4 linked regions of the Anolis sagrei genome follow. The protein of the gene in region 4 interacts with the protein of the main gene of each other region in a pairwise test. Links are inferred from orthologs where the notes say so. Each region holds a gene or a part of one and is shown on either strand. Other genes may lie near its edges.

Evidence for each region.
Region 1: the proteins of ATXN1 (region 4) and ARID5A interact in binary tests that used the Homo sapiens proteins (3 or more experiments, as listed by UniProt). The link is inferred for Anolis sagrei from reciprocal best matches to the Homo sapiens genes ATXN1 and ARID5A.
Region 2: the proteins of ATXN1 (region 4) and ZHX1 interact in binary tests that used the Homo sapiens proteins (3 or more experiments, as listed by UniProt). The link is inferred for Anolis sagrei from reciprocal best matches to the Homo sapiens genes ATXN1 and ZHX1.
Region 3: the proteins of ATXN1 (region 4) and CXH1orf94 interact in binary tests that used the Homo sapiens proteins (3 or more experiments, as listed by UniProt). The link is inferred for Anolis sagrei from reciprocal best matches to the Homo sapiens genes ATXN1 and C1orf94.

The regions. Positions count from the first base shown.
Region 1 is NC_090027.1:23,188,557-23,196,266, reverse strand, and holds the start of ARID5A (AT-rich interactive domain-containing protein 5A), read right to left. Parts: upstream 3,186-7,710; 5' UTR 3,117-3,185; coding exon 3,002-3,116; intron 1-3,001. UniProt on the Homo sapiens protein: DNA-binding protein that may regulate transcription and act as a repressor by binding to AT-rich stretches in the promoter region of target genes.
Region 2 is NC_090024.1:20,488,273-20,495,899, reverse strand, and holds the start of ZHX1 (zinc fingers and homeoboxes protein 1), read right to left. Parts: upstream 3,031-7,627; 5' UTR 2,658-3,030; intron 616-2,657; 5' UTR 450-615; intron 1-449. UniProt on the Homo sapiens protein: Acts as a transcriptional repressor. Increases DNMT3B-mediated repressive transcriptional activity when DNMT3B is tethered to DNA. May link molecule between DNMT3B and other co-repressor proteins.
Region 3 is NC_090034.1:68,094,271-68,101,561, forward strand, and holds the start of CXH1orf94 (uncharacterized protein C1orf94 homolog), read left to right. Parts: upstream 1-4,139; coding exon 4,140-4,417; intron 4,418-7,291.
Region 4 is NC_090024.1:81,545,265-81,553,090, reverse strand, and holds the start of ATXN1 (ataxin-1), read left to right. Parts: upstream 1-4,708; 5' UTR 4,709-5,014; intron 5,015-7,826. UniProt on the Homo sapiens protein: Chromatin-binding factor that repress Notch signaling in the absence of Notch intracellular domain by acting as a CBF1 corepressor. Binds to the HEY promoter and might assist, along with NCOR2, RBPJ-mediated repression. Binds RNA in vitro.

The sequences.
Region 1 (7,710 bases), on a different chromosome or scaffold from region 4:
GAAGGGAAAAGAAGGGGAGGGGAGGGAAGAGGAGGGGAGGGAAAGGAAGGGGAGGGGAAAGAAGGGAAGGGAAGAGTATGAGGGAAAGCAAGGGAAGAAGAAAAGAATGGAAGGAAAGGGAGCGGGAAAAAGTATTTGAGGGAAATGGAGGAAGGAAGGAAAGAGCCACAAAGAAATTGCAAACCCGGGCAACACTGGGGATATATGATAGTGCCAAATAGCATGGATAAATAAAACTTCCAATAACAGTGGATAATATGATGAGCTCCAATGGCATGTATAAATAACACACCCTAGCCAAAACAGAGAAACCCAGCAACAAATGAGAATCTATCCAGATGGTATAATAATCAGCATAGTTTATAAAGGTCAGAGATAAGGTGATTTTTTTTTCACCCTTCTTTTAGCGAAAGTGTGTAATAACACTTCTTGGAATAATTCCTTTCAAGCACTGGGGAAAACAGATTTGGAGGGAATATTAATTGGACAAGAAAGTCAATTTTCTCAGTTCAAAAGCTCCAGATTTTAGGTTATGTTCTTCATTTTAAATGTAATATAAAAATATTAGAATACAATAATAATAATATAATATCATTATCATAATGTAATGCAAACATATCAATAGAATAATACATATAATTATAATATAAAATGAAATGTAATATAAAAATACAATTATAATATAATAATAAATATAATAATAAAAGGTAAAGGTAAAGGTTTTCCCCTGACATTAAGTCTAGTCATGTCCAACTTTGGCGGGTGGTGCTATCTCCATTTCTAAGCCAAAGAACCGGCATTGTCTGTAAACACCTCCACGGTCATGTGGCCAGCATGACTGCATGAAGTGCCATTACTTTCCCACCAACTTATTGATCTACTCACACTTGAATGTTTTCAAATTGCTAAGTTGGCAGGAACTGGGCTAACAGCGGGAACTCATCCCGCTCCCCGGATTCAAACCGCCAACCTTTCAGTCAGCACATTCAGAAGCTCAGCAGTTTAACCTGCTGCACCACCAGGGAGTCCAATATTATAATACTAGCTGTCCCCTGCCACACGTTGCTGTGGCCCAGTCTGTGTAGATGTGCTTTGTGTGTGTTTAAGTGTGTATATGTATGTGTGTATATTTGTGTATATACGTGTGTTTGCGTGTATATATATATATATATATATATATATATATATATATGGTTTTTCACATGCGTTGTAATGTATTTTTTATTTTTTGGCTTTTTAAGTCTCTTCTGCTGTGTTTTTCAGTGCTTTTATGAGTGATGGTCACTTGTTGGCCTGATACGTGTATTGTGCCCAAATTTGGTGTCAGTTCGTCCAGTGGTTTTTGAGTTATGTTAATCCCACAAATGAACATTACATTTTTATTTATATAGATATAATATAATTATATATTAAATATAATTATATAATATTATATAATTATAATTATATAATTATAATTACTATAGTTAATTGTATTGCATAATTATATTATATTATATATAATTCTATATTCTATAATTATAATTCTACTATAATATTATCTATATAAATAAAAATGTAATGTTCGTTTGTGATACCATCAGAACTCAAAAACCACTGGGGGAATTGACACCAAATTTGGACACAAGACACCTAACAACCCAATGTATGTCCTCCACTAAAAAAAAAAAGATTTTGTCATTTGGGAATTGTCGTTGCTAGGATTTATAGTTTACCTACAATCAAAGAGCATTCTGAACTCCACCAATGATGGAATTGGGCCAAACTTAGCACACAGTTCTCCCATGACCAACAGAAAAAACTGGAAGGGTTTGGTGGACATTGATCTTGAGTTTGGGAATTGTAGTTCACCCACATCCAGAGAGCACTGTGGACTCAAACAATGATGGATCTGGACCAAACTTGGCACAAATATTCCATATGCCCAAATATGAACACAGATGGAGTTTAAGGGAAATTGAACTTGACATTTGGGAGTTGTAGTTGCTAGGATTTATAGTTCACCTACAATCAAAGAGCATTCTGAACTCCACCAATGATGGAATTGAACCAAACATGGCATACAGGACTTCCATGACCAACAGAACACACTGGAAGGGTTTCGTGGGCATTGACCTTGAGTTTGGGAGTTGTAGTTCACCTACATCCAGAGAGCACTGTGGACTCAAACAATGATGGATCTGGACCAAACTTGACACAAAAATTCCATATGCCCAAATATGAACACAGATGGAGTTTGGAGGAAATAGAACTTGACATTTGGGATTTGTAGTTACTAGGATTTATAGTTCACTACAATTAAAGAGAATTCTGAAACCCACAAACGACAGAAATGGGACAAACTTCCCACATAGAACCCCCATGACCAACAGAAAATACTTAAGGTCATCCAGTCCAACTCTCTTCAACAGGGCAAGAAAATGTAATCAGAGCCCTCCTGACGAAGAGCCATCCAGTCATAAATATAGATAGATAGATATGATTCTCACACACACACACAGATATAGTATCATAGATTTGAAAGAGACCCTTAAAGAAGGACTATGATATGTTGCATATTCCAGAGTAGGCAAAACAGACACTCTCCACATCAACACTGACAAAGAAACAACAAAAAATACTGTTCACTCACAAGCCTAAAGAAATTACATATATTAGAAACCAACACTTTATAATTACTTTATTTTCCAGATCACCAGACTGGGCCACAGCAATGCATGGCAGGGGACAGCTAGTAATATAATAATAATGTAATACAATTATTATATAGAATACGCTGCGCAGTGTGCAGAGGAATTTGTTGGATTTTGTTTTGTTTTGTTTTCCAAATCATAGTACGGTCCCCCAACAGCCTTGAAGGACAGCAAACCAGTCCTCAGTTTAAAGTGTTTGAGAACGTCTGATTTAAGATCTGCCCTCTGCAAACCCACAGGTTGGCCTTTCATAGACACGGCAATTGGTTTCTCAAACGTGCAAGAAATGCATTCAGGGACGTACGTACTCTGCTTGAAACCCAGGTGAGGCACCCTCTCAATGGGCGTGTGCCGGTCCTTCATAAACCTGTAGAGGTTGACCAGGAACGTCTGCTCCTCTTCCTTCTCGCTGGAAGGCAGCATCTCGTCTCCCGATTCCTCGGCCAGACTCTTCTGCTCAGCTTCGGCTGCCTGTTCCGGCTTGGAAGTGGGAGATTCCTGCAGGAAAAACAACCCAATGCAATCACCAATTACATTCTGGAAATTAAACAGTTGCAATGCAAGTACAAGTATTATTACATTATTGTTGAAGGCTTTCATGGCTGGAATCATCTGACATGGTGGTTGTTAGTGTGGTCCAGCATTTCTGTGTTCTCAAATAATATGCTGTGTCCAGGCTGGTTCATCAGGTGCTCTGCTATGGCTGACTTCTTTGGTCAGACTACACAGAGAAGCCTTTGAAATCCACAAGCATGTGGACAATTTCAACAGAAAGGAAGAGACCATGAAAATGAACAAAATCTGGCTACCAGTATTAAAAATACTCTAAAATTACAACAGCAAAACAGCAGAGAGGAAACAACCAGGCACATCTTAACACCTCTCATCAAAAGATTTTCCCAAGCTCAGCCAGGCCTTCAAATGCTAATGAAGGTGGTCAGTTGAAACATTCACACCTAGCTCCAGCAGAGAAGAGCTCTTTGCCCCACCCCAGCCATTCCACAGATATATAAACCCATTTTCCTAGTTCCAACAGACCTCACTACCTCTGAGGATGCTTGCCATAGATGCAGGCGAAACGTCAGGAGAAATGCCTCTAGAACATGGCCCTATAGCCCGAAAAAACCCACAAGAACTTATTATTACATTATGTTACTCTCTTTATTCTTATTGGAAGGATACATAAGCACATTTACATTGAAGAAGGTTAGAATCAGAGTGGGACACTCTTATCTTAAATTACAGTGTTATGTAAATATTCAAAAACATTTAACATTCTGATGCCTCAATTAATGTAATTTTATTGGTATCTGTTTTTATTTTGAAACTGACCAATAGCTGCTGTATTTCCCACCCTAGGCTTATACTCGAGTCAATACATTGTCCCAGTTTTTGTGGTAAATTTATGTGCCTCGGTTTATATTCGGGTCGGCTTATACTCGAATATATATGGTATATAGGTATTGAGCAGATCAATAGGTATCGCTTCTGCGGGAAGGTAACGGTGACCATGCAGTCATGCTGTTGTAGTTCAGCGTGATGGTAACGTTGCTACTACTGGTAGGAGGGAGAAGCGGGCTGCGCAGGTGTTGGAAGAGGAGCAGCAGCGAAAGCAGATTAGAGAGATAATCATGGCCCCGAGTGATTCTGAAACCTTTGAGGGCTTCTCCGACTGTAAAATGGGGGATCGGGAGGAAAGCAGGGGAGTCAAGCGGGTTACTCACGATCCAGAGTCTGATGAGGAAACTCAAAGGAAGCGCATCCGTGATATACTTAACGCTCCTACAGAGGACAAGGACTTCATGGGCTTTGAAGGGAGGGATGGGTCTGGGAGTGACATGGGGGAGGAGGATGGGCTCGATTGGATCCGTGTACAGGAGATTAGGGATATCTGTACCCAACCCACCTCCAGCGATGACTTTGAGGGGTTTACAGAGGAACGCCAACCGGGGAGCACTTGGCAAGATCTAAGTCTTGACAGACGCTGGCAGAGGTGGAGGGATGGGCATTCGGGTTCAGCTGCAGAGAATGGGGCAGCTGAGAGCGATGATGAAAGAGTGGGGAGCACCTCATCTTCTGATGAGGAACTTTAGGATAAAAGTGGGTATTGTTTGCATGGATTTTTGCAGAAGGCAAAGTCTCTTTTGGGGTGTGAATCTTTGTTACTGCCAATTCTCGAGCTTGGGTCCTTGGACTACAGATTCCTGTGTTCCTGTGTTTACTTCTTGTGATTTCGTGAACAACGACTTCTACTCTACTGCTTTGACTCCGGACCATTTTGGACAACGCGTTTTTGCCTCTTGGACTTTGTCAACTTGCTTGCATCGTGCTACGACTTCGGACCGTTTTTGGACTGTGTTTTTGCCTGTTCCTATTGTGCCTTTGTACCTCCTGTGAACTGTGTGAGTTTAAAGCGGATTGCTGAATACCTTAGTTAAACTGGATTATACGCCAAGATAATCCGGGTTATATTTCAGTTGCTTTTTTCACGTTGTTTTTGATATCAACACTTTATTTGAACCTAAGGCACTGAAGTAAGTGCTTCAAAGACTATTTTGTGAACAATAACACTGTGTTTGGACTCTGCATTTTGTGTTTGGCTTCTTTAAGGCTTCTGGGTCTTGACACATGCTGGCCACATGACCTTGGAGGTGTCTATGGACAATGCCGGCTCTTTGTCTTAGAAATGGAGATGAGCACCAACCCATAGAGTCAGGCATGACTAGACTTAATGTCAGGGGCGGCTCAACCCATTACACAAAGTAAGCGTTTGCAGTATAGTTGATTTTGCCCAGGGGCGCTCTTGAGGCGCTCTTGGGGGAAAATAAACTTTGACATATGTGAGTTGTAGTTACTGGGATGTATAGTTCACCTACAATCAAAGAGCATTCTGAACTCCACCAATGATGGAATTGAACCAAATATGGCACACAGAACTCCCAAGACGAACAGAAAATATATATCAGTGATTGGTTGGCGGGGGGGGGGGGGGGGGGAAGCAAAATACTGTTTGCTTACCATTGAAAATTACTCTGCTTAATGTCAAGGGGAAAGCTTTACCTTTTATTTAAAGAATTTGATTGTTTTGGCCGGTTGCTTAATAGTTCCGGTTAACAAAGAGTCGATTAAATCAATGTAAACAAGGGGGAGCCTGGTAGTTGCGGTAAGGAAATTAAGTAGTGTTGTGTAACTGGAAATTACGAAAGATGTGAATGGTATTATGAATGTGAAAAAACAATAAACAAATATTTGTATAATTAATGAATAGCATCCATTTCTGGTTTCTGTCCTGTAGAGGCAAAAGGGGCTTCAAAGCCTCGTGTTTCCAAAACGAGTGTTTTAGAAAAATCTGCTTCTTCTGGGACTTCAATCATTAGCTCTTGGAGAAACAGAAAACAGATGGAAACTTGTTTTGGTTGGGAACAGCTGCAGAAGCCCGAGGCCCGGAGCTCGTGACCCACAAAACCAGAGTCAATTTGCAGAGTATTTGCAAGAGAAATATATAGATGGAATGAATCCCGACGACAAGCGGGCCTTTCCCCCAAGAGAGCGGCAGAAGTTCAACCAAGCCTCCTGCCAACCTGTGAAGCACATCTGGATGCTTTCTTCCTCTCTTGGAGAAAAACAGTGGGGCAAAACATCTGCTTAGCGAGTTGAAAGTTGAGGATCAAATGGCCATCTTCTGCAGCTCAAACAAGGTTCTGAATAGCTGGTGCACATCTGGATGGAAAAGGGCTTGGCATGTTAAAGCTCGCGTGTTCAATGCCCATCCTATCTAGCAAAAAAAGGGAGAGACTGTCGTGGACTCCACTTTGTGGCCGCATTTCTTAAGGTTGGCTTTGCATCTCGTGGTGCCAAAGTGCAGTGTGTTCAGCACCTTCCAAGTAACCCAGTTTTTTGTGTGCCCAGAGGGGACTCTCTCATTCAATATCAGCCATGGATTGAGGTTCCGGATTTTCGCCTGCCACTTTTGGACTCTTGCTTGCTGAGGTGTTCCTGCAAGTATCTCTGTAGATCTTGGAAAACTATTTCTTGATTTAAGGCATTGGCATGTTGGTTGATATCTGAACAAGGGATAGGCTGGAGATGTCGCTGCCTTGGTCCTTTCATTATTGGCTGCTATTTTCTGACAGATGTCAGGTGGTACAATACCGGCTAAACAGTATAATTTCTGCAGTGGTGTAGGGCATAGGAATCCTGTGATAATGCAACATGTCTCATTAAGAGCCACAGCCACTGTTTTAATGTGGTGAGATATGTTCCACACCAGGCATGCGCATTCAGGAGCAAAGCAGCAAAGTGCAAGGGCAGATGTCTTCACTGTGTCTGGTTGTGATCCCCAGGTTGTGCCAGTCAGCTTTTGTACAATATAGTTTCTAGCACCAACGTTTTCCTCGATATTCAAGCACTGCTTATTGTAAGTCAGAGTATGCTCCAGGATAACTCCCAGGTATTTGGGTGCGCTGCAATGCTCCAATGGGATTCCTTCCCAGATCATCCTTAGAGCTCGAAATGCTTGCCTGTTCTTAAGATGAAATGCACACATCTCTGTTTTAGATGGATTAGGAATTAGCTGGTTTTCCCTGTAATAGGCAGTAACAGCACCTAAAGCTTCGAAGAGCTTCTGTTCAACCATCTCAAAGCTCCCTGCTTAGGCGGTGATGGCACGATCATCAGCATAGATTAAACTCTCTGTCCCTTCTGGCAGTGGCTGGTCATTTGTGTAAATGTTAAACATTGATGGAGCAAGCACGCTCCCCTGTGGCAGGCCATTCTTCTGTTTCCGCTATCTGCTTCTGGATGGCCATCTGTTAGGGGTGATTTGAATGCAATATTCCTGCTTCTTGGCAGGGGGTTGGACTGGATGGCCCATGAGGTCTCTTCCAACTCTTTGATTCTATGATTCTATGATTCTCTGGCCCTGGAATTCAACAAAAAAGCTCCTGTTTTGTAGCAGGTTTCCCATGAAGCAGGTGAAGACAGTTCCTGTTATCTGCTTACTTGAAGACCCCAATTA
Region 2 (7,627 bases), about 61 Mb from region 4:
TGGTTTCCCATCAAAGCCCCGACCCTGTGTAGCTTCTGAAATATGAAATTGTACTGTACAATATTAATTCTTTAGTGAAAGGGAAAGGAACTGTACTGTTTGGAGAAAGCTGTAGGAAATTTAAATTTTATAGCAATTAGAGCAGTGGTTCTCAACCTGTGTTTTGGCCTACAACTCCCAGAAATCCCAGCTAGTTCACCAGCTGTTAGAATTTCTGGGAGATGAAGGCCAAAACATTTGGGGATCCACAGGTTGAGAACCACTGAATTGGAAGAAGAGAGAAGCATAATAGGAGAGGTCAGATATGTGGTCAACGAAGTTCTGAAAGTACAAGATGATGACAGGCTTGTGTGAGAAAGAAGATGAGATTGTTGTAAGTTTGAAATATAGCAAATACTTGGAAAAGCACGACTAATCAGAGAGTAAATCAGGTGTAGCACACGCATTACCTGTCACAGTGTCCAGATGTTTCTTCAGAGGCCGGTGACCTCCTCCAATTATACACTAATTGTAATTCTCCTTAGAGACTCCAGTTCTTTATCTCCATCTCTTCTTACGGACAGAAGGAGGTTCATCTTCTTCTGCACACCCACCAAGATGGTAGTATTAGATATTCTGAAAAACAAAAGTACAAATGCATCTAGTTAGAAATATGATTGACTTTGTTATGTGCCTTCAAATCACTTCCTCCTTATGTAAGGTGAACCTATTGTAGGGTTATCTTGGCAAAATTTGTTCAGGGAGGCTTGTCATTGGTCTTCCTCTTAGAATGAAATAGTATGATTTCTGCAGGATTAAACAGTGGGTTTCTGAGTAGGGATTCTAACTCTGGACTTCCAGATTCCGGACTCAATGTTCAAATCATTATGCTATATTGGCTCTTCATTGTAGACTTTGTTGTGTGTCTTCAAGTCATTTCCGACTTGTGGCAACCATAAGGTGACCCTACCATGGAGTTTTGTTCAGACCAAGAACCTACCTCTGAGACCTTGTGACTTGTCCAAGGCCACCCAGTTTGTTTCCACAGTTGACCAGAGATTCAAACCCTGGTTTCCAGAATTGTAATTCAATCCTCAAACCACAACACCACACTGGACCAACCTCTGGTCAAAGACAACTCTGAAGATCAGAGGTAGAGGATCATTTCTCCAACAAAGGGCAGTTTCCTTTATATCAAAACATTATAGGGGAGGGGGAATGGACAGTCTGCAGTGGGCAGGGCAGAGTTGCACCATTTCTGGATTGCACATCCCTCCCTTTTTCTCTCTCTACATTGGCCATGGACTCCCCATTCCACTTGGAGGTCTATATACAATTTTGCAACCACAGCGCAGCTACCCAAATAGAATATCTTGGCACAGTTAAAGATTACGAAGTCCCTTGAATCCAAACTTTTTTATGGTTTCAATGAACTTTTGAATATGTAGCAGAGAGCTGTATTTGGAAAAGGAAAGCTTGGTTTCAAATCTTGGCTTAATTTTGGCATTCATAAATTGTCTCCTTCCGATTCACCTAACCCTACAACAGGCATGAGCAAACTTTGACCCTCCAGGTGTTTTGGACTCCAACTCCCTACCAGCTGTTAGGAATTGTGGGAGTTGAAGTCCAAAACACCTGAAGGGTCAAAGTTTGGCCATGGCTGCCCTACAAGGTTGCGATCGGCACAAATACAGGGTTGCTGTCAGTTTTCAAGGCTGTATGGTCATGTTCCATAAGCATTCTCTCCTGACATTTCGTCTGCATCTATGGCAGGCATCTTCAGAGGTTGTGAGGTCTGCACAAATACAGTTGCCTCATGGATCTCTCACTTATTGACACAAATGTGACAGATTTAATCCAGGTCACTTGGCTTACCTTCAGCCACAAAAAAGGCACACAAATCCCATTCCCCTGTGAGCCACTCCCTCTCATGTATTTTGCTGGGTGCATACAAAAACAAAAATAGGAGGAAAGGGATTCCTTATTCCCAAGGAGTAACAAGATATTTTTCGCAACAGTGTAATTATACTATGAACACCAGGGAAAATAATTTTGCACTAAGTTTCTTTGTAGAGCGGGTTGATGGTAAAGACTCTTATCATCTTGGCCCTCTTTCCATCACAAGGGCCTAAATTTTGGCTAAATTGTCACATCTACTCCCTCTGAATCATTGTAAGGAATGCAAACAATAGAAATGGAAAAGCATTGATCAGAAAGCACAAAAATAATGCCTAAAATTGCCCCTCCCCATCACACCCAGCATGTCCTCTGGATTTGGAGCAAGTGCTTCAATGTGTCTTTTCAAGCAAGTCTCCTCCTTTTGTTGTTCTCCCTCTGCTTCCCCCAAAACAGCAACAACCCAAAACTGGGGAGACAGAACTGGGGTGTCAGAAACCCTTTATCTCTCAGTTTAGTTCCAAAATTATCTTTTAAAAAAATATTTTGGGATGCAGCCATGTGACACCCATCTCTCTTAAAAAGGAGGAGCTCTAAAAATGAAGAGGTTGGAAAGAAGAATCAAAATGCTAGTGGATTTTCCCCCAGTTTATTTCCCCCCTCCTTGTTCCAAGCTTTGTGGGCATTTCAGGCATAGAGGGACTCCTACATCCCTGGTCCCATCCCTAATGCTAAAGATCCTTTAGCAAAAACATAAATATATATATTTGAAAATCCCCTACCTTTGCAATGCGTAAAGGCTGCCTGTTAGCTTTCTGCCTGTTCAGTACAAGTCCGCCATCTTGCATTAAAAAAAATACTGCACTTTTTTGGGGGAAAGGAGGAGGAGGAGGAGGAGTGATGCTTGGTGAACTTTGAACTGGCACTTTGTAGAAAAAGGGGGGAGGACCAACCCAGCTCTGCAATCCGCTTTCCCAAAGGCAGCTTGCACTGGAGAGGTTCCCATTCAAATGTTTTCTTCTTCTCCCTTGTTGTTGTTGTTGTGAAAAAAAGGGGGGAGTGGAGGAAAGCTCGCGAGTGTGTGCAAATGCACCAGTCCCACAAGAGAAACAAGCAGGAAGGAAACAAGGGGGAGAGAGAGAGAGGAGGCGCCAAAGCCCCAGCTTTCTGCAAAAGGGAGACTGACTCTGCCTCTCCAGGTCCCTGGTTAGCCAACAGAAAGCAAGGGGCTGATTGGATCCAGCTAGATTGAACCCTGGCCATTGGGAATGGGATCCCTTGCAATGCATACACAGGAAAGGAAGGGAGAAAGAGAAAGGAAGCAGGGAGGGGAGCAAGAGGGCGTTCCTCCTCTGAGGTTCCCCAGAAAGGAGGCTGGAGAGTAGGAGGCAGCAAAAGGAGGTCACTGCCTCCAGATCAGAATTCTGCCCTCTTCAAATGCAAGTTTGTTTCCATCTCCAAATGTTTAGCATTGCAGTGACTTAGGGGTTTTTTTTATTACATTGTACAATAAATGCAATAAATTGTACAAGAAACATTAACAAATATGCAGATGACACCACTCTGATGGCCGAAAGCGAGGAGGAGCTGAGGAGCCTTCTAATCAAGGTGAAAGAAGAAAGCGCAAAAGCTGGGCTGCAGCTAAACATCAAAAAAACCCAAAATAATGGCAACAAGAATGATTGACAACTGGGAAATAGAGGGAGAAAATGTGGAGGCCGTGACAGACTTTGTATTTCTAGGCGCAAAGATGACTGCAGATGCAGACTGTGGCCAGGAAATCAGAAGACACTTACTTCTTGGGAGGAGAGCAATCTCCAATCTCAATAAAATAGTAAAGAGTAGAGACATCAGACTGGCAACAAAGATCCGCCTAGTGAAAGCCATGGTATTCCCTGTAGTAACCTACGGATGTGAGAGCTGGACCTTAGGGAAGGCTGAGCGAAGGAAGATAGATGCTTTTGAACTGTGGTGTTGGAGGAAAGTGCTGAGAGTGCCTTGGACTGCAAGAAGATCCAACCAGTCCATCCTCCAGGAAATAAAGCCCGGCTGCTCATTGGAGGGAAGGATACTAGAGGCAAAGTTGAAGTACTCTGGCCACATCATGAGGAGACAGCAAAGCCTAGAGAAGACAATGGGGAAAGTGGAAGGCAAAAGGAAGAGGGGCCGACCAAGGGCAAAATGGATGGATGGCATCCTTGAAGTGACTGGACTGTCCTTGAAGGAGCTGGGGTGGTGACAGCCGACAGGGAGCTCTGGCGTGGGCTGGTCCATGAGGTCACGAAGAGTCGGAGACGACTGAACGCATGAACAACAACACAATAAATGCAATTTGATAACTCTTGAACTGCTATGGTATGGTGGGAGTTTAGTGAGGCACCAGCATTCTTTGGCACAGAAGGAGTATAGTGTCTAGGAATCTAGTGTCTAGATCCAGGGAAGCCATCCTACCCCTCTGTTCTGCCTTGGTTATACCACACCTGGAATACTGTGTCCAATTCTGGGCACCACAATTGAAGGGAGATGTTAACAAGCTGGAATGTGTCCAGCGGAGGGCGACTGAAATGATCAAGGGTCTGGAGAACAAGCCCTATGAGGAGCGGCTTAAAAAGCTGGGCACGAAGAAGACATATGACAAAGGTTCCTTGGCAGTCATTTTGCAAAGAAAGTACACACACTGATTTATGAGTCTAAAAAGTGTCCTAACTTAGAGCATGTTATGACTTTCTGCCTTGTACAGCCCTTAGTGGAATTGCAGGTACAATTGGACATCAGAAGTGGTATAGTAGGCGGCAGATCCCCTCTGATCCAGGAAACTACACAAGGTAAACTCTACCTTGTATGGAAACCACCACAGCATATTGGATGGAAACCACTCAAAGGTGCTATAGGACCTGGTAAAACCACCTCTTGAGTTTTTCCTGCCTAAGAAAACTCTGATATTTGTAAAATCATTACTGAATGTGATTTTCCTGCTTCTTGGCAGGGGGTTGGTCTTGATGGCCCACAAGGTCTCTTCCAACTCAATAAATCTATGATTAAATTGATAAGACCACTCAAAAGCATGTATACACACATTTTTGAATATTTTTATTCTGTTTTAGTGTAGAACAGGACATTAATTGTTAAGGCAAGAAAAACAATAAATGCTTATTTGGAAAAGCTAGAATCCTTCCTTTCCTTAGGTGATCCCTCGTTGTCAGAGTATGATGGTCTTCCAAGCGTAAGGTCTTGGCAGTGGCTACGTAGAAGACTGTGGAGCCCTATTCTTGACCTGCATGTTCTTCCAACGTGAGGACATTGGTTTCCAGGAGGAAGCCAGTCCCAGTTAGGGTTGGCTTGACATGTCCTCCTCTTGGTACATTTCTCCCTTGCGCTCTCCAAAACTAGAATCATCACGCAGCCCATTAACAGATTCAGTGCAGGGCCATAGGATCTGAATCAACAAAATGTTACAATCTGCATGTGGACATGAAGAAAGAGATACAGTGATGTACTGATTTCACGTGGGCAAGGAAAAAGCTCCAGGCATCAAAACACATGTCTTGTGATTATTTATATATAATATAAAGCATTTTGACGGAAGTTGTCGTCCCATCTTTTTCTCCAGTCCAGGACTCAAGACATCACAGGAAGTTTAAAATTAATAGTTTTAAAATTCATATCATACAAAAAGTAAAAATATAATTAACAAAACAGGCATAACCACCATCAAAGAAGCCCCCTTTAATACATTATTTTTATACTTCCAGCCTCTTTGTTCTCCGTCTAGCTGAAATTTTTATTTAGCAGCATCAGCACTGGAAAGGTAGTGAAATTTTTGAGAAGTTGAAGCAGTCTGTGTGCAGTATAGGTAAAGGTTTCCCCTTGATATTGTCTAGTTATGTCCGACTGGGGGTTGGTGCTCATCTCAATTTCTAAGCCAAAGAGCCGCCGTTGTCCATAAATGCCTCCAAGGTCATGCCCCCTGTTATTAATCATACAGATATAAAAATGGGACAAAAATATAGATCCTAAGAACAGTGAAAGAAAAAAAGCCATCCCTAGTATCTAGAGTACGATGTTTTATAATTCTTCCAAAGCTTTTAATATGGTTTCATTTCACACACATATAGTAATAGTTTTGACTTAAAAGTTTGCTGTAATATGATGCACTTTTCTTTCTTGAATTGTAGGGACATATCACCTTTTCCCATGCTATTTCTACCTCTGGCACCAAATTTTGGTAAACAAGTCATGCCCAGAAGCATCTCTACACATGTAATGTTAACCATAATCCCTTCTCTTCCTGGCTTTCTTTTTCACACATAGAACGAGCAAAGTTCAGCATTAACTCAATAGTAAAATGTTAAAATCAAGGTTTGGATTTTTGGAATTAAATATTTTCAAGCTATGGATGGTTGAATCTGTGAATGCCATGACTCTAAAGCAGTGGTTCCCAACCTTTTTTTGACCAGGGATCACTTTGAACAGTGACCACTCTCCGACATTAGTACCAAAAGGGTTACAAATCAGTTTTTGGTCAACTTTAGATTCGGTTTGGTTATTTGGGGTGCTGATTCAGAAATTTGCATTGGCTAGACCACATCAGCTCTAATTTCCGATACAGAACATATGCCATCCAGTAGTCGCCATCTGCTCATCCACAGAAACCCATATTTAATAATCTAGAGCTCATGTGGTCTACCTAATGCCATTTTATGAATCAGCACCCCAAAAAAGACCAGGAACAGGCCTAAAAATGAAGACACAGGTGCCACACGGATCGGCTCCTCGGGGAGGGAGAAGCAGCAGTCAGGAGGCTTGTTGTCATGCCTTTTGTGGGTAGTTAGGCTCTCATCTCCCAAAATACCTCTTGCCCCAGCATTATAAGTGTTTTGTGAGACCAGTTGCTCTTGTTGCAACAGTGTAGTAACAGTGAGGCTGTGGACCACATTTTAGTTCTCATAAACCACTGGTGGTCTACAGACCACAGCTTGGGAACCACTGCTTTAAAGAGTTTCCCTGCTTCCAACCATATTTTGCCCCATTGGTGTATTTAATGGTCTAAATAATTTTAAGTGTTCTCATTTTATTTGCCAGTTCTATTTTATACCGAATGCAGTCATACCTTTAGGAGTTTCCTTAGCTCTCCTGTCTAACCAAATGTGCATCTTAAACTATGTGGTATGAGGGGCTTTATCTCCCAATATGCAGTAGATCAACATCATATTTGTGCTCCTAAGTTATAAATTTTGTTGCAACCATGAACCATCGGCGATCTAATGCTTATGTAAAACTCTGTTCTTGAGGTATGAATGACACCCAGACATTCTAGAGATCTGGTGCTCTTCATTTTCTTTTTCACAGCTTCTTTTATTAAAGCCCCTCTTTGACTCCCCCTTAAAATATAAATATAATCATTGGCATTTTTAGCATTCTTACATATAGGATCCACTAGCATTTGCCATGCACTTTCAGCATGTTCCCTGATCATGCTGCTCTAAACAACAGCAATGAAAAGAATTGCTACTCAAACAATGTTAAAGAGTATATAAATTTTATTTTGTCCATTGAAGTTTAACACAAAGTATATATTACATAACATTTGAGAGCACTGAAGAGTTGATGTAAGTTACACCAACAATAGAAAAATTAGAGTAGTGATAAAAAAGAAGGCAGAATGTTTTTGAAAATACAGGAAATGAGAATACTGAAATATTCTGTCATTGGTCTACAGCCATATGGAATATCAAGATATCAAATGCATTTT
Region 3 (7,291 bases), on a different chromosome or scaffold from region 4:
AAGCATCACTGTGTGACTGGAGACCCAGCAAGCAACTAAATGTTAACATCAGAAATTGTATGTTTGAACTCATTTCAAGCTGTGCCTTCTCTTCATGCTGGCTTGTGACCCCTGGAGCTAATTCAATCCTCAGGCAAAAAAAAAAAGACACCAAAGAAAGCGATACAAACAAACAAACAAACAAGCACCTCCCCTCTTTGCCGTTTCATCCACAAAAGCTGCTGCCTTGAGAGGGTTATTCGATCTTGGGGTTTACTCTCGTATTTTCGTATTTCTGCTGCCGCAGATTAACTAAACATCGTGATCCCCTCAGGAGGTTTTGTATTATTTAAGCACTCACACAACCTATTTAACCTGAGGCAACAGTAGAATGAAAGAAAACCAAGGGGCAAAAAGAGACAACTTTTTTTCTCCTCCCTCTCTATTTGCAGACTGTTTTCCAGTTATGCTCTGCTTTTAAAAATTGCCACACAGAGAAAGATACGCAAAGAAACCTCTTGTTACATCTGCAAATAAAAAAAAGGAAAAAGAGAAGGTTTCCAATAAAATGGGATCTCTGAGCTGGAGGGGGTCACAAGGACCATGTTATTCAGTGGTTCTCAACCTTCCTAATGCCGTGACCCCTTAATACAGTTCCTCATGTTGTGGTGATGCCCAACCATAACATTATTTTCGTTGCGACCAGGGACGGCTCAGCCATTACGCAAAGTAAGCATTCGCAGTATAGTTGATTTTGCCCGGGGGCGCTCTTGAGGCGCTCTTGGGAGAAAATAGACCTTGACATAAGGAAGTTTTACTTACTGGGATGTATAAAAAGGTAAAGATAAAGGTAGTCCCCTGACATTAAGTCCAGTCATGTCTGACTCTGGGGTGTGGTGCTCATCTCCATTTCTAAGCCAAAGAGCCAGCGTTGTCCGTAGACACCTCCAAGGTCATGTGGCAGGCATGACTGCATGGAGCGCCGTTACCTTCCCGCCAGAGCGGTATCTATTGATCTACTCACATTTGCATGTTTTCGATAGTTCACCTAAAACCAAAGAGCATTCTAAACTCCACCAATGATGGAATTGAACCAAATATGGCACACAGAACTCCCATGACGAACAGAAAATATATATCAATGATTGGCTGGGGGGAGAGCACCAAAATACTGTTTGCTTACTGTTGAAAATTACCTAGGGCCGCCTCTGGTTGCGACTTCATAACTATAATTTTGCTACTGTTATGAATCGCACTGTAAATATCTGATATGAGATGTTCATTCACTGGACCAAATTTGGAATAAATATCCAATACACCCAAATCTGAATACTGGTAGGATTGGAGTGGATTGATTTTGTCATTTGGGAGTTGTAATTGCTGGGATTTATAGTTCACCTACAATCAAAGAGCATTTGAACTCCACCAACAATGGAATTGAACTAACCTTGGCTCTCTGAACTCCCATGACCAGCAGAAAATACTGGAAGGGTTTGGCGGACAGTGACCTTGAGTTTGGGAGATGTAGTTCACCTATATCCAGAATGCACCATGGATTTGAAAATGATAGATCTGGACCAAATTTGGCATGGATACTCAATATGCCCAGATGTTAACACTGGTTGAGTTTGGGGAAAATAGATCTCAACATTTGGGAGTTGTAGTTGCTGGGATTTATAGTTCACCTACACTCAAAGAGCATTCTGAACTACATCCAGAGAGCACTGTGGACTCAAACAATGTTGGATCTGGACCAAAATTTGCACAGATACTCAATATGCCCAAATTGAACACTGGTGGATTTTGTGTAACTAGACTTTGACATTTGGGACTTGTAGTATTATTTATTTATTTATTCATTTACTTTGCTTATATACCGCTGTTCTCAGCCCGGGGGCGACTCACAGCGGTGTACAACATAGAAGAACAAAGTTCAAATTCAAGACATAATATAAAATCCACATCCAGCATTAAACAAGAACATCATCATCAAAAACATCATCATTACTACGAAAGCCATTCCGCGTCGTCTCATCGTCCAAACCACAATCCAGTATCATTTCCATTGTTCCAATCCTATAGTCATTACCAATCATTGCACTTCTTGTTCGAATGCCTTTTTGAACAACCAAGTCTTTAATTTCCTGCGGAATATCATCAGGGAAGGAGCCAGTCTGATGTCCACGGGAAGGGTGTTCCACAGTCGAGGAGCCACCACCGAGAAGGCCCTATCTCTCGTCCCCGCCAGCCGTGCCTGTGAAGCAGGCGGGATCGAGAGCAGGGCCTCCCCGGAAGATCTCAAAGTCCTGGTGGGCTCGTAGGTCAAGATGCGGTCGGATAGGTATCCTGGGCCGGAACCATTTAGGGCTTTATAGGCCAACGCCAGCACCTTGAATTGAGCCCGGTAGCAAATCGGCAGCCAGTGGAGCTGGTACAACAAGGGGGTTGTATGCTCCCTGCGTCCTGCTCCTGTTAGTATCATGGCTGCCGCACGTTGGACCAATTGAAGCTTCCGGGCCGTCTTCAATGGCAATCCCACGTAGAGAGCGTTGCAGTAGTCTAAACGGGATGTAACCAGAGCATGGACTACCGTGGCCAAGTCAGATTTCCCAAGGTACGGGCGCAGCTGGCCTAGTAGCTCAGATTTATAGTTCACCTTCAATCCAAGAACATTCTGAACCCCACCAATGATAGAACTGGGCCAAATTTCCCACACAGAATCTCCATGACTAACAGAAAATACTTTGTTTTCTGATGATCTTTAGTGACCCCTCTCACCCCCCACCCCCACGATCCCCCTCCCTGGTTCCCAAACCCCCAGGTTGAGAAACGTTGATGTAGTTCAACCCTTTGTGAGGTAGAAATGGACAACTATAGCATTCCTCAAAGATGCCCATTCCACCTCTGTATTAAGACCTCCAAAGATGGAGAGTCTACCACTGTCAAGAATGCTGAACAACAAAGACCTTGTCCTCCTTTTCTCAAGCTGATACATCTGGAACACATCACATTGCCATCAGAAACATTCTTTTCCTTTTTGCTAACTCTTGTGTGTATAAACATACAGAGTTGTGAGGCCAGAAACACCCCGTGTCCTAGGATCTCCACTATCAGACAGCTCTTCCAATCAAGACATTCTCAATGTTTCTCAACTTCCTTTCTTTTATTTTCAATGTATTGGTTCATGTTCTAGGCACCAAAGAGGCAGAAAAACAAGCTCACTCCATCTTCTACATGACATCCCATTGGATACTTAAAGATTGCTTTCCTATCATCTCTCCATTTTCTCTTGTCCAAGTGAAGCACACCCAACTCCCTATGTTGGAGGCACCACCCAACTTTCTCTTCTTCTAACCAGACCAGAGACGGTCCTTTGGTTTCAGGTTTTGATCATAGATTTTGGAGCATAGGATATTCTTGACTTAAAAACTCTGTATTTTTATATACACAAGAGCCAAGAAAGAAAGAAAGAAAGAAAGAAAGAAAGAAAGAAAGAAAGAAAGAAATGCTTCTGATGGCAACACCTTTCCATGTATAGGAGCCCTAGGTGGTACAGTGGGTTAAACCCCTGTGCTGGCAGGACTGAAGACCAACAGGCCGCAGGTTCGAATCCGGGGAGAGTGCGGATGAGCTCCCTCTGTCAACTCCAGCTCCTCATGTGGGGACATGAGAGAAGCCTCCCACAAGGATGGTAAAAAACATTAAAAAAATTCCAGGCATCACCTAGGCAACGTCCTTGCAGACAGCCAATTCTTTCACACCAGAAGTGACTTGCAGTTTCTCAAGTCGCTCCTGACATGACAAAAAAAATATCTTTCCAGGTGATGTGTTCCAGATATGCCAGTTGGAGGAAGGAGAGCAAGATCTTTCTCCCTCAGTGTCCTTCAGAGCAAGCAAAGTCTCCCCTTCCGTCTACTGCTGTTGAAGTTTGATGATCTATTACAGTTTTTATTCTTTATGTCAGTTAAGTTACCATGTCGCAAGGGTTCTATGGTTACTTAGCTACCAGAGTTTGTTTCCATATGCTCCATTCTGTACCATCTTTTTTTAAAAAAAGAAAGAAAATAAGGCAAGCAACATAAGTATCTCAGGAAGGTGTGTGGACACCCTTCCTGTTTGTTTATTCAATTTTCATTCTAGCCATTAGTGGGCAAGATACGATGCTGTCAAGTAGGAGCAGCCTTCAGTGTTCAACAACCAACCCCAAGGGCAGTTTTCCATTAGGCCCTTTCCCAAGACACATTTGGATCCATCACAATACGCCTCAGGACAGTTTGGATAAAGCTTGCCATGAGATCTGGAAAAGAGTCCAAGGTCTCCCGGAGGAACTCCAACCCAGGTCCTCATCACCACTTCTCCAAGTGAGCTGCCACCCCATTCCATCTTCTGAGGCCCTCCAAGAGGATAACAGTAGTACCAGCAGCAGCTCCCAAAAGGAGTGAGTGCAATGCTTTTAATCTTGTTTGTTTTTGAGTATTTTGAACATGCAAAAAGTATACCTGAATGGTTGGCAATGGAGAAGATGGATCCATAAGAAAGCAGAGGCTGTAGTTTCGTTACTTTAACCTTTATTTATTTATTTATTTATTTATTATTTAAACTTATATGTCGCCACTCCCCTGGGGCTCGGAGCGGCTTACAAGAATAGCTAAAATCTAACAAAGTTTAAAAGCAATTTAAAACAATTTAAAAACAACAGTATCAAACATTAAAAGCCTGTCGGAACAGGTATGTCTTACATGCCCTGCGGAAAGCTGGTAAGTCCCGCAGGGCACGAACTTCGGGTGGCAGAGCATTCCAGAGTGATGGTGCCACTGCTGTGAAGGCTCTGCGTCTGGTTGCCCTTAAACGCAAGGTCTTGACACTGGGGACTTCCAATAGATCTTGGTCCTCAGAACGGAGGGATCTCTGGGGTTGGTAGGGGGTGAGACGATCCTTCAGATACATTGGCCCCAGACCATGCAAGGCCTTAAAGGTGAGTACCATCACTTTGAAAGTGATCCAGTGCTCAATTGGTAACCAATGCAGCTGTAGTAAGATTGGTGTTATGTGGCATCTCATCGGAATTCCCGCAAGAAGCCGAGCAGCTGCGTTTTGTACCAACTTGAGCTTCCGAATCACCGACAGAGGGAGGCCAATGTAGAGGGCATTACAGTAGTCCAGTCTTGAGATGACTGTGGCCTGGATCACCGTAGCTAGGTCGTCCCTGGACAGGTAGGGGGCCAGCCGCCTAGCCTGCCACAGGTGAAAGAAGGCAGTTCTGCTCACGGCGGATACCTGGGCCTCCATTGTCAGCAGAGGGTCCAAAAGGACTCCCAGACTCTTTACCAATGATGACGGGCGTAACGCCTCGCCATCCAGGGTGGGCAGATGGATGTCCCCCCTGCCTGGTCCACCCAGCCATAGGATCTCCGTCTTTGCTGGATTCACCCTCAACCTGCTGGCACGCAGCCATCCAGTAACGGCCTCGAGGCACTGATGGAAATAATCAGGTACAGAGTTCGGTCGGCCTTCCATCTTCAGCACCAGCTGAGTGTCATCGGCATACTGATAACACTCAAGCCCAAAACCTCGAACCAGCTGAGCAAGTGGTCGCATATAGATGTTAAACAACAGAGGGGAGAGAATGCCCCCCTGAGGAACCCCACAAGATAGAGGGGACCTCTCAGAGACCAGGCCTCCCCTCTCCACTCGCTGTCCATGGTTGTGAAGAAAGGAGGACAGCCAGTTTAAAGCTGTCCCCCTGATTCCAGCAACAGCAAGGCGGTGGGTCAAGAGATTGTGGTCGACTGTGTCAAATGCTGCTGTGAGATCCAATAGCACAAGCAGCGCTGACCCGCCCTGGTCAAGCTGGCATCGAAGGTGATCCGTGATGGAGACCAGCATAGTCTCTGTCCCATGCCCCACACGGAAGCCGGATTGGAAGGGATCTAGTCCGGCTGTGTCGCCTAGGAATTGCTGCAACTGCTCCGCTGCTGCCCTCTCAATCACCTTGCCCAGGAATGAGAGATTTGAAACTGGGCGGTAACTGGAGGGAACTGAGGGATCTAAATCTGGTTTCTTCAGCAAAGGAGAGACCACTGCCTCTTTTTAGTGGTCCGGACTCCACATATTGGGAGATAGGTCAATCAATCAATCAATTAATCAAAAATATTTTCACCCTAAAGATAACTCATTCCTCTGGCTCCATCCCACTTAATTACTGTTGGAGAATGGTTGCCTTCAAGTCACTTCTGATCAAAAAAGATCATCTTCATCCATCTAGATTCCATGACAATATTAACTTGAAGGCTAGAATACTAAATACATCTATTTATTGATATATTGATACAAGATGTGTGCTGTTTTGCATTCTAGTTGAAAATGTAAGCCCTGAAAATGTAAATAATGGGTTTGAGTAGCATCAAGTATAGCACACAAATCTGTGTGTATTGTAGGATGTGTGTATGTGTGTCATGAATAACTTTTCAATAACTTTAAAGCTTTTTATTGTAATTTCCAGTATGAGAGAGGATATATCAGAACTTTTACAGAACTTTTATACTTTTACACAAAGAATGACATTGGACATACAGATTCTACGCAACTACATTGAATTCACAAACAACCTACAGTTATATTGGCTAACAAGCAAAGAAGAATTAAATTTTTACTCAACATTCACACCACATGTACATGCATCCATCCTCATGAATCCAAATATTATCACATCCTTTTCTCCCTCCTTGGAGAAGCAGCTGCTTAGGCCAGGACCTGCTTCCCTGCAGCCTGTCAACGCACAGTTCCAAAACCTTCATAATGTCAAAATTCTTGTTCAACAGCTACACAAATGACCATCCACTGCCAGAAGGGACAGAGTTTCATCTATGCTGATGATCGTGCCATCACCGCTCAAGCAACATTCACACCTAGTATTGTCGAAGGCTTTCATGGCCGGAATCACTGGGTTGTTGTAGGTTTTTCTGGACTATATGGCCATGTTCTGGAGGCAATCTTTCTCCTGACGTTTCGCCTGCATCTATGGCAAGCATCCTCAGAGGTAGTGAGGTCTGTTGGAAGTAGGAAAAATGGGTTTATATATCCGTGGAATGACCAGGGTGAGACAAAGGACTTTTGTCTGCTGGGGCTAGGTGTGAATGTTTCAGCTGATCACCTTGATTAGCATTCAATGGCTTGGAAGTGCCTGGGGGGAATCTTTTGTTGACAGGTGTTAAGATGTGCCTGTTTGTTTCCCCTCTGTTGTTTTGCTGTTGTAATTTTTGAGTTTTTTTAATACTGGTAGCGAGATTTTGTTCATTTTCATGGTTTCTTC
Region 4 (7,826 bases):
TTCTCTGGCATCCTGATCATTTCTTTTCTGGACAGGTATGCTTTCTCCAGAAGTTACTATAGACTTGAGTAGAAAGATCTAGAGATTTCTAGAGGAGTATGGTATGGGGGGCCGCAGTAGTACAGTTGCTTAAACCACTAAGCAGAACTTGCTGATCAGAAGATTGATGGTTCGAATCTGCGGATGGAGTGAGCTCATGTTGTTAGCCCCATTTTCTCGTAACTTAGCATTTCAAAAACATGCAAATGTGAGTAGATCAATAGGTACCGCTTCAGTGGGAAGGTAACGGTGCTCCATGCAGTCATGCCGGCCACATGACCTAGAAGGCATCTACAGAGAACGCTGGCTCTCCAGCATAGAAATGGAGATGAACACCCCCCCCCCCCCAGATTTGGACATGACTAGACTTAATGTCAAGGGGAAAACTTTACCTTTTTAATGGTATGCTAGGACCAGAAGTCAGGGAATTTAATGGTATCCAGCCATATCTGTAGTTTAATGTAACTGGTCCAGCAAGAAATGTATCTCAGGGAGACTGGGGTCTTATTCTAGTTATACACTTCTTGATGACATTAAATTAGTACATATTTTTGTCCATTGGATCTTAATTTTAACTCAGGTATACTTTAACCTGGCTTGCTTATGTTTCTTTTAGGAACCCCTATAGTGCTAGTGGAGATCATGGTTTCAAACATGGATTTCTTAAAGGGCCTTTCCATCTCTAACAATGGCATCTTATAGTCCTAATTGTTGTCAGAGAATATTCCTCTGGAAGTTCAGGATCTCAAAGTTGTATCTTTTATTGATTGCAATGAGTTTGGTGGTTCTCTGGTAAATAAATAAATACATACATACATATATACATACATACTTTATTTATATACCGCTCTATCTCGCTGAGGGGGACTCAGGGTGGTTTCCAAGTAACATCACAAAAACATACAGAGTAAACAGCATGACATAAAATTAACAAAACAACATAAGCATAAAATAATCACAATAACACATATATATTAAAAAATAATCCTGCCTGTTCAGAGTTATTAAAAGGTTGGGCCAAGGCTAGTGCAAACTCAAAATATGAGGGAACCAAGAATTAATTACAGTGCTATAACAGGCTAACAACAACAGCAGGTACGAGTCTGCGGCTGCTCATTTCCAGGGCATTTTAGAGGGATGACCAGGGTAATAGATAGGAAGTATAAGGCCATATTCAACAATGTTTGGGGCTGAGCTAGAACTGCTCATTCTCAAAGGCTTGTTGAAACCACCAGGTCTCCAAGCTCTTACGAAAGGAGGGGAGGGATGGGGCCCGTCTTATTTCCTTTGAAAGGGCATTCCAGAGGCGGGGGGACACCACCGAGAAGACCCTTCTCTCTCATCCCTACCAATCGTACTTGTGACATTAGTGGGAGTGAAAGGAGGGCCTCTCCAGAAGATCTTAGAGTTCATAGATGGAGATGCAATCGCGTAGATAGGCGGGGCCTGAACTGTTTAGGGCTTTATAGGTCATGAAAGAAAGAAGTTGTTAGCATAAGCTTTCATAGGCGAAGTCTGCTTTATTCAATGCGTGGAGTAAAGTTCCTAGAAACAGATATTTATATCTATGACAAATAAGTTAGCTTGCTATTCTTCCATATGTGGAATTACAGGTTGCTTACTTGTAATTGCTTTTCTTTGGTTATTCAACTCTTCCTTCTCCACTGCTACTGTTTTCTCTAGAGTGTAGAAGACGTCTGATCTGGAAGTTACTTGTATAAGGTCTGCTATGCTGTTCTTCCACAGATGTGAAACTTTCCTTTAGTCCTACTGAAGAAGCTTGAACTGCAAAGGTTTATCTTCCTTTCTTCTGATCTCATTACTTTTGCAATTTCCTTCTGGGTTTCTGATCTGTCCTGTTAACTTGCCATCTCTTGAGGTTATTGCTTGGTTTGTTATGATGCAACAATTGCCTTGCAATCGTCCTGGAAATGAACTTGTATATCTGAGGTCTTGGGTGGTATCACATGGGTGCCTTTTCGTTTTGTCTCTGAATGAGCAAAGGTTTGCATACTTGGGAGCCAAAATCCTACTGCTTGGGGAGAATGAGAACTTGTAGTTGTGAAGTTGACAAGCAAATTTTAATATATTATGTACCCTAGGATGTTTCTACCGCACATGTTCCCTGATAGCTATTAATTATGCCATGCTGCACATATGCCAATGTGGAAATGGACTGAAATCCACAAAGACTCATGCTAAAATATATCAATTAGTGTTAAGATACTGCAAGATTCCTTCTCCTCTCCTACTCTTCTTTTTATCACATCTATCCTGTTTTTAATAATTTAAAGGCTTGCATTTCCCCCTTCAAGAAATAATAAAAAATAAAAAAGCTGAGTCTAATAGAATGTGTCAGATTGAGAGAACACATTTTCAGAAAATAAAATGCCGATCTGCTATTCTCTCAGTTCAGTACAAGGAGTTGCTTCCTATAAGGCTTCTCTCTTGGCAATGGCTTACTTTCAGTGATAGTTACCAGAGCAGTACCAGTAACTAAATAAGATTCCTCAGCACTGGTTTGAAGAAACTTCATCTTTATTCCTCATCTTCTGTTGTCAAGGCTGTGTTTTCTTCCTTTCAACAACAGTACAGCCTTGAATGGGCAACTGGCTTTTCAACACAATGGCTTTGTAACACAACATGATTCAGCAGTCGGTTCTTTACCACCAGTACCTTTCCCCACACAATATATGTTACTTGCTTGTTATTTATGCTTACATCTTTTCTTAGAAAGCACTTCTGTTCTGGAGAATATCATCTTCTCCCATGGACTAAACATACATATTTTGCTGGGGCTCTGCAATGCCCTCTTATAGTAAACATAAAAGTTTTCCTTTGACATTAAAGTCTAGTCAAGTCTGACTCTGAGGGGTGGTGCTCATCTCCATTTCTATGCCGAAGAGCCGCCTGTTGTCTGTATATGTCTCCAAGGTCATGGGGACGGCATGACTGCACAGAGTGCCGTTACCTTCCTGCCAAAGCAGTATCTATTGATCTACTCACATTTGCATGTTTTTGAAATACTAGGTTGGCAGAGCTGGGTCTAACAACTGGAGCTCACCCTGTCCCATGGATCTGAATCACTGACCTTCCGGTCAGCAAGTTCTGCAACTTAGCAGTTTAACCTACTGTGCCACCGTGGCCCCTGCCCTCTTATAGGATCATGCTAAACACAGATTGTATATTCACAATATCACACTTATTCGAGTAGCAAGTGTGCTGTCTTTTGGGTGCTGTAGTATGTCTGTGAGCACCTTAATATCCCAAATGCACTGAATCTTGTCTGATCTTGGAAGCTAAGCAGGGTTGGCTTTGGATAGTACTTGGATGGGAGACCACCAGTGAACACCAAGCGCTGATTAAGCTATATTTTCAGAGGCAAAACTATTCCTGACTGTTCCTTGCCTAAGAAAACGCTATGAAATCCACAAGGTTGCTAGATGCTGACCAGCAATTTGAAAGCACACGTAGCATGTTTACAGCATGGGTGCTCTATTTTGTGAACACTTGAGGTGCCTATAAATTGTGTTGTTGAAGACTTTCATGGCCGGAATCACTGGGTTGCTGTGAGTTTTCTGGGCTGTATGGCCATGTTCAAGAAGCATTCTCTCCTGACATTAATAATAAATAAATAATAAAACTTTATTTATACCCCGCCACCATCTTCCCGAGGGACTCGGAGCAGCTTACATGAGGCCAAGCCCAACAACACATCAAAAACAACAAGCAATAAACAAAATCAACAATAAAATTTATATAACTCATAAATAGACAATAACACACAAGAATTTAAAAATCTATGGCTGGGCCAAATGTAATAGTTAAAACTTTAAAAATAAATGCTGGACATGAGCAGAGGATGTATCTATTTGGAGGGTTTTAAATCAAAAGTAAAGAGCAACCCAACGGGTAAAGTGCTTCTCAGAGTGTTTGCAGGGGATTTCACCCAAATCTATGGCAGGCATCCTCAGAGGTTGTGAGGTCTGTTGCAAACTAGGCAAGTGGAATTTATATATCTGTGGAATGTCCAGGGCGGGAGAAAGAACTCTTGTTTGAGGCAGGTGTGAATGTTGCAATTGGGCACCTTGCTTAGCACTGAATAACCTTTCAGCTTCAAGGTGTGGCTGCTTCCTGCCTGGAGAGAATCCTTTGTTGGAAGCTGCCTATAAATTGTAGAATTATTTCAGTTTGGCAGCACTAACTGCCACGGCTCAATGCAATGGCATCCTGGGAGGTGTAGTTTGGCAAGAGAACGCTAAAGATCTTATGAAACCACAACTATGATTCCAGAGTCATAGGCAGTTAAAGCAGTCACTAACCAACTGCTTTAACCTTGCAGTATGTATGCACCCTTGGAAATCATTGGAATAATGCATTTAGAGGGCCCTTTGTCAACCTGTAAAGGGCCAGAGTTGCTTGCTCCAACTCTGGTGTGTGTGCTATAATGATTTCTGAATGAAGTGTGGCTATGCAGAGGAGAGTCCCAAAGCCAGGGTGTAGTAGTAAACAACAGCAACCACCAGAGTATTTCCCTTCCTGGAGACTGAGGGAGCAGCCCCTGGAAAGGGTTAAGGCTGGTTCCGCCAGGCTCTGTTGTGCGTCTGCTATAATCTGTGTGGCTCTCTTGGCCGCCTGACAAAAGTGTTGCCTCCTTCTCCTCCCTCCTTCCCTCCCCTTTTGCACGGAGAAGTCGAAGCCTTGAAGCCGATGCAGAGGCAGCCAACTGCTCCATATTTGGCTTCTCTTCCCTATTTGCATACAGTCCTGGGGAAGGAGAGAGAGAGAAGAAGAAGAGAGCTGCACCGCAGACATCACTCCTACTCCAAGGGCCGAAGGAGAACAGCCGTCTCGCAGGGAGGGGGCACGAGCAATAATTAGAATAATTATTATATATGATACCTCCCTCCCTCCAAAAAAAAAAGCATTTTCAGAAAACAAACCCCAGCCCTTTGCGATCAGCTGGCGAGACACTGTGAGTCTTTCCCCTTCTTCTCTCCCTCTAACTCCCCCTCCCCCCCTTTCCTTTCCCACTTTTACACAGTAAGTGTAAAACAACCCCCCTCTGCTTTCGCTTCTCTCTCTTTCTCTCCCCCCCCCCCCTTTAATTCCTTCCTCGAATGAAAAACCTCCAGCGACTTCCAGCTGGAAAAACACACGGGCGGCTGCTTCAGAAGGAGGGAGGGAGGGAAGGAAAGGAGGAAGGAGAGAGGAGAGTCAGGCAAGGCAATGGACTGTCACCTCTACAGCTGGAAGTCCCTCTTTTTCTAGGATCGCCCCCCTTTTCCTGCCCCATCCTGAACTGGAGAGGAGGGAGGGAAGATGGTAAAAAAAAAAAAAAAGGGGGGGGGGAGCCAGGGAACCCTGTCGTACTGCTGTGATTTATTATTATTATAACATCATTATCCACACTTATCCCAGTCAAAAGGGGAGGAAGGAGGGGAAGAAGGCAAAGAGAACCTTGTTACTGCATTATTATTATTATTATGCATTATCATCAACACCTAAACCCAGTCAAAACTGGTTAGGGAAGCAAAGAGGGGGACCCCACTTAAAGAACATTGTCATTACTGTATTATTATTATTATTATTATTATTATTATTATTATGCATCATCATCAACACCTAAACCCAGTCAAAACTGGTTAGGGAAGCAAAGAGGGGAACCCCAGTTAGAGAACATTGTTGTTACTACATTATTATTATTATTATCATTATTATCATGACCATCATTCACACTTAAACCCAGTCAGAATTGGTTAGGGAGTTAGATAACATTGTTGTTACTGCATCATCATCATCATCATCATCCACACTTAAACCCAGTCAAAACTGGTTAGGGAAGCAAAGAGGGGGACCCCAGTTAGAGAACATTGTCCTTACAGCATTATTATTATTATTATTATTATTATCAGTATCATTATCATCATCATCATTCAAACTTAAACCCAGTCAGAGCTGGTTAGGGAAGCAAAGAGGGGGACCCCAGTTAGAGAACATTGTCCTTACAGCATTATCCTTATCATCATTCACACTTATCCCAGTCAAAAGTGGGGAGGGAAGCAAAGAGGGAGACCCCAGTTAGAGAACCTTATCCTTGTGAGTGCTGCAATACTATCATCATCACCATCACCATCATCATCATCATGATCAACACTTAAACCCAGTTAAAACAGGTTAGGGAAGCAAAGAGAGGGACCCCAATTAGATAACCTTGTTGTTACTGTGTTGCATTATTATTATTATTATTATTATTAGATACACAAGATCAGTACACAGCAAACAAGATCACTATGCTGGCTGTTACCCCCTTCCCTTTTTATTATCATTATTACCACCACCATCATCATCCACACTTAAACCCAGTCAAAACAGGTTAGGGAAGCAAGGAAGGGGACCCCAGTTAGGGAATCTTGTTACTGCTGCAGTACTATTATTATATGCACAAGATTAGTACACAGCAAACAAGATCACTATGCTGGCTGTTGCTTCCTTCTCATTATTATTATTATCACCACCACCATCATCATCCACACTTATACCCAGACAAAACTGAAGGAAGCAAATAGGTAAACCTTGGTTAGAGAACTATGTAGTTACTGCTGCAATACTATCATCATCATCATCATCATCATCATCATCAACAACACTTATCCCAGTTAAAAGTGGGGAGGCAGGAAGGCAAGAAGGCAGAGATAGCCATGTTACTGCATTATTACTATTATTCATCCACACTTAAACCCAGTCAAATCTGGGGAAGGAATCAACATTGTCATTATCTTCATCATCATCATCCATATTTAAGCCAGTCAAAAGTGGGAAGGCGGGAGGTGAAGAAGGAAAAGGAAGCCTTGATACTATATTATTATTATTAATCCACATTTAAACCCAATCAAAACAGGGGCAGGAATCAGCATTATTATTATTATATTAATCCACACTTAAAACCCAATCAAAACAGGGGCAGGAATCAACATTATTATTATTAATCCACACTTAAACCCAATCAAAACCGAGGCAGGAATCAACATTATTATCATAATCATCATCATTTACACTTAACTCAGTCAAAACCGAAGAGGGGCAAAAGGGGGAACCTAGTTTGGCATTATTATTCTTATCCTTATCCACAGTGAAGCCAGTCAAAACAGGGGAGTCAGGAAGGGAAGAAGGCAAAGGAAGGAGGGGGGCAGTCAGGGAACCTTATTATTATTGCAGTATTATTATCCTCCACACTTTGGCATTGAATGTTTGTCACTCTGTTACTTTGGCTGAGTCCCACTAGATAGAGCGGTATATAAAGTATTATTATTATTATTATTACTTGGGAGTTGGGAGTGCAGAGGTGACCCATGTCCTCATAGTCTCCCTAAAACAGGCCTGGGCTAACTTGGGCCTTTTCTCCAGGTGTTTTGGGCTTCAACTCCCACCATTCCTCACAACCTCGGGCCCCCTCAGCTTAAGCGGCTGAGGGAGAAAAGGAAGGGGCCTGAGGCTGTTAGGAATGGTGGGAGTTGAAGCCCAAAACACCTGGAGGGAAGGCCCAAGTTGGTCCTAAAGTACAGGAGGGGTAGTGCCTCCTTGTTTTGTGGGTGGCCTGGTGGGGCCAGAGAGGCCTTGGTAGTAGCGGTGCTTTCCTTTCACTTTGCCCTTTCGCGAGAGAGAGAGAGAGAGAGACGAGGACCCAGGTTTCTCTTTCTCTCTGCCTCTCATTATGCTTATATATGTGGAGAGGGGGAGGCTTAGTCCAGGCAAGGAGGCCCGCCTGCTCCTCCTCCTCCTGGTCT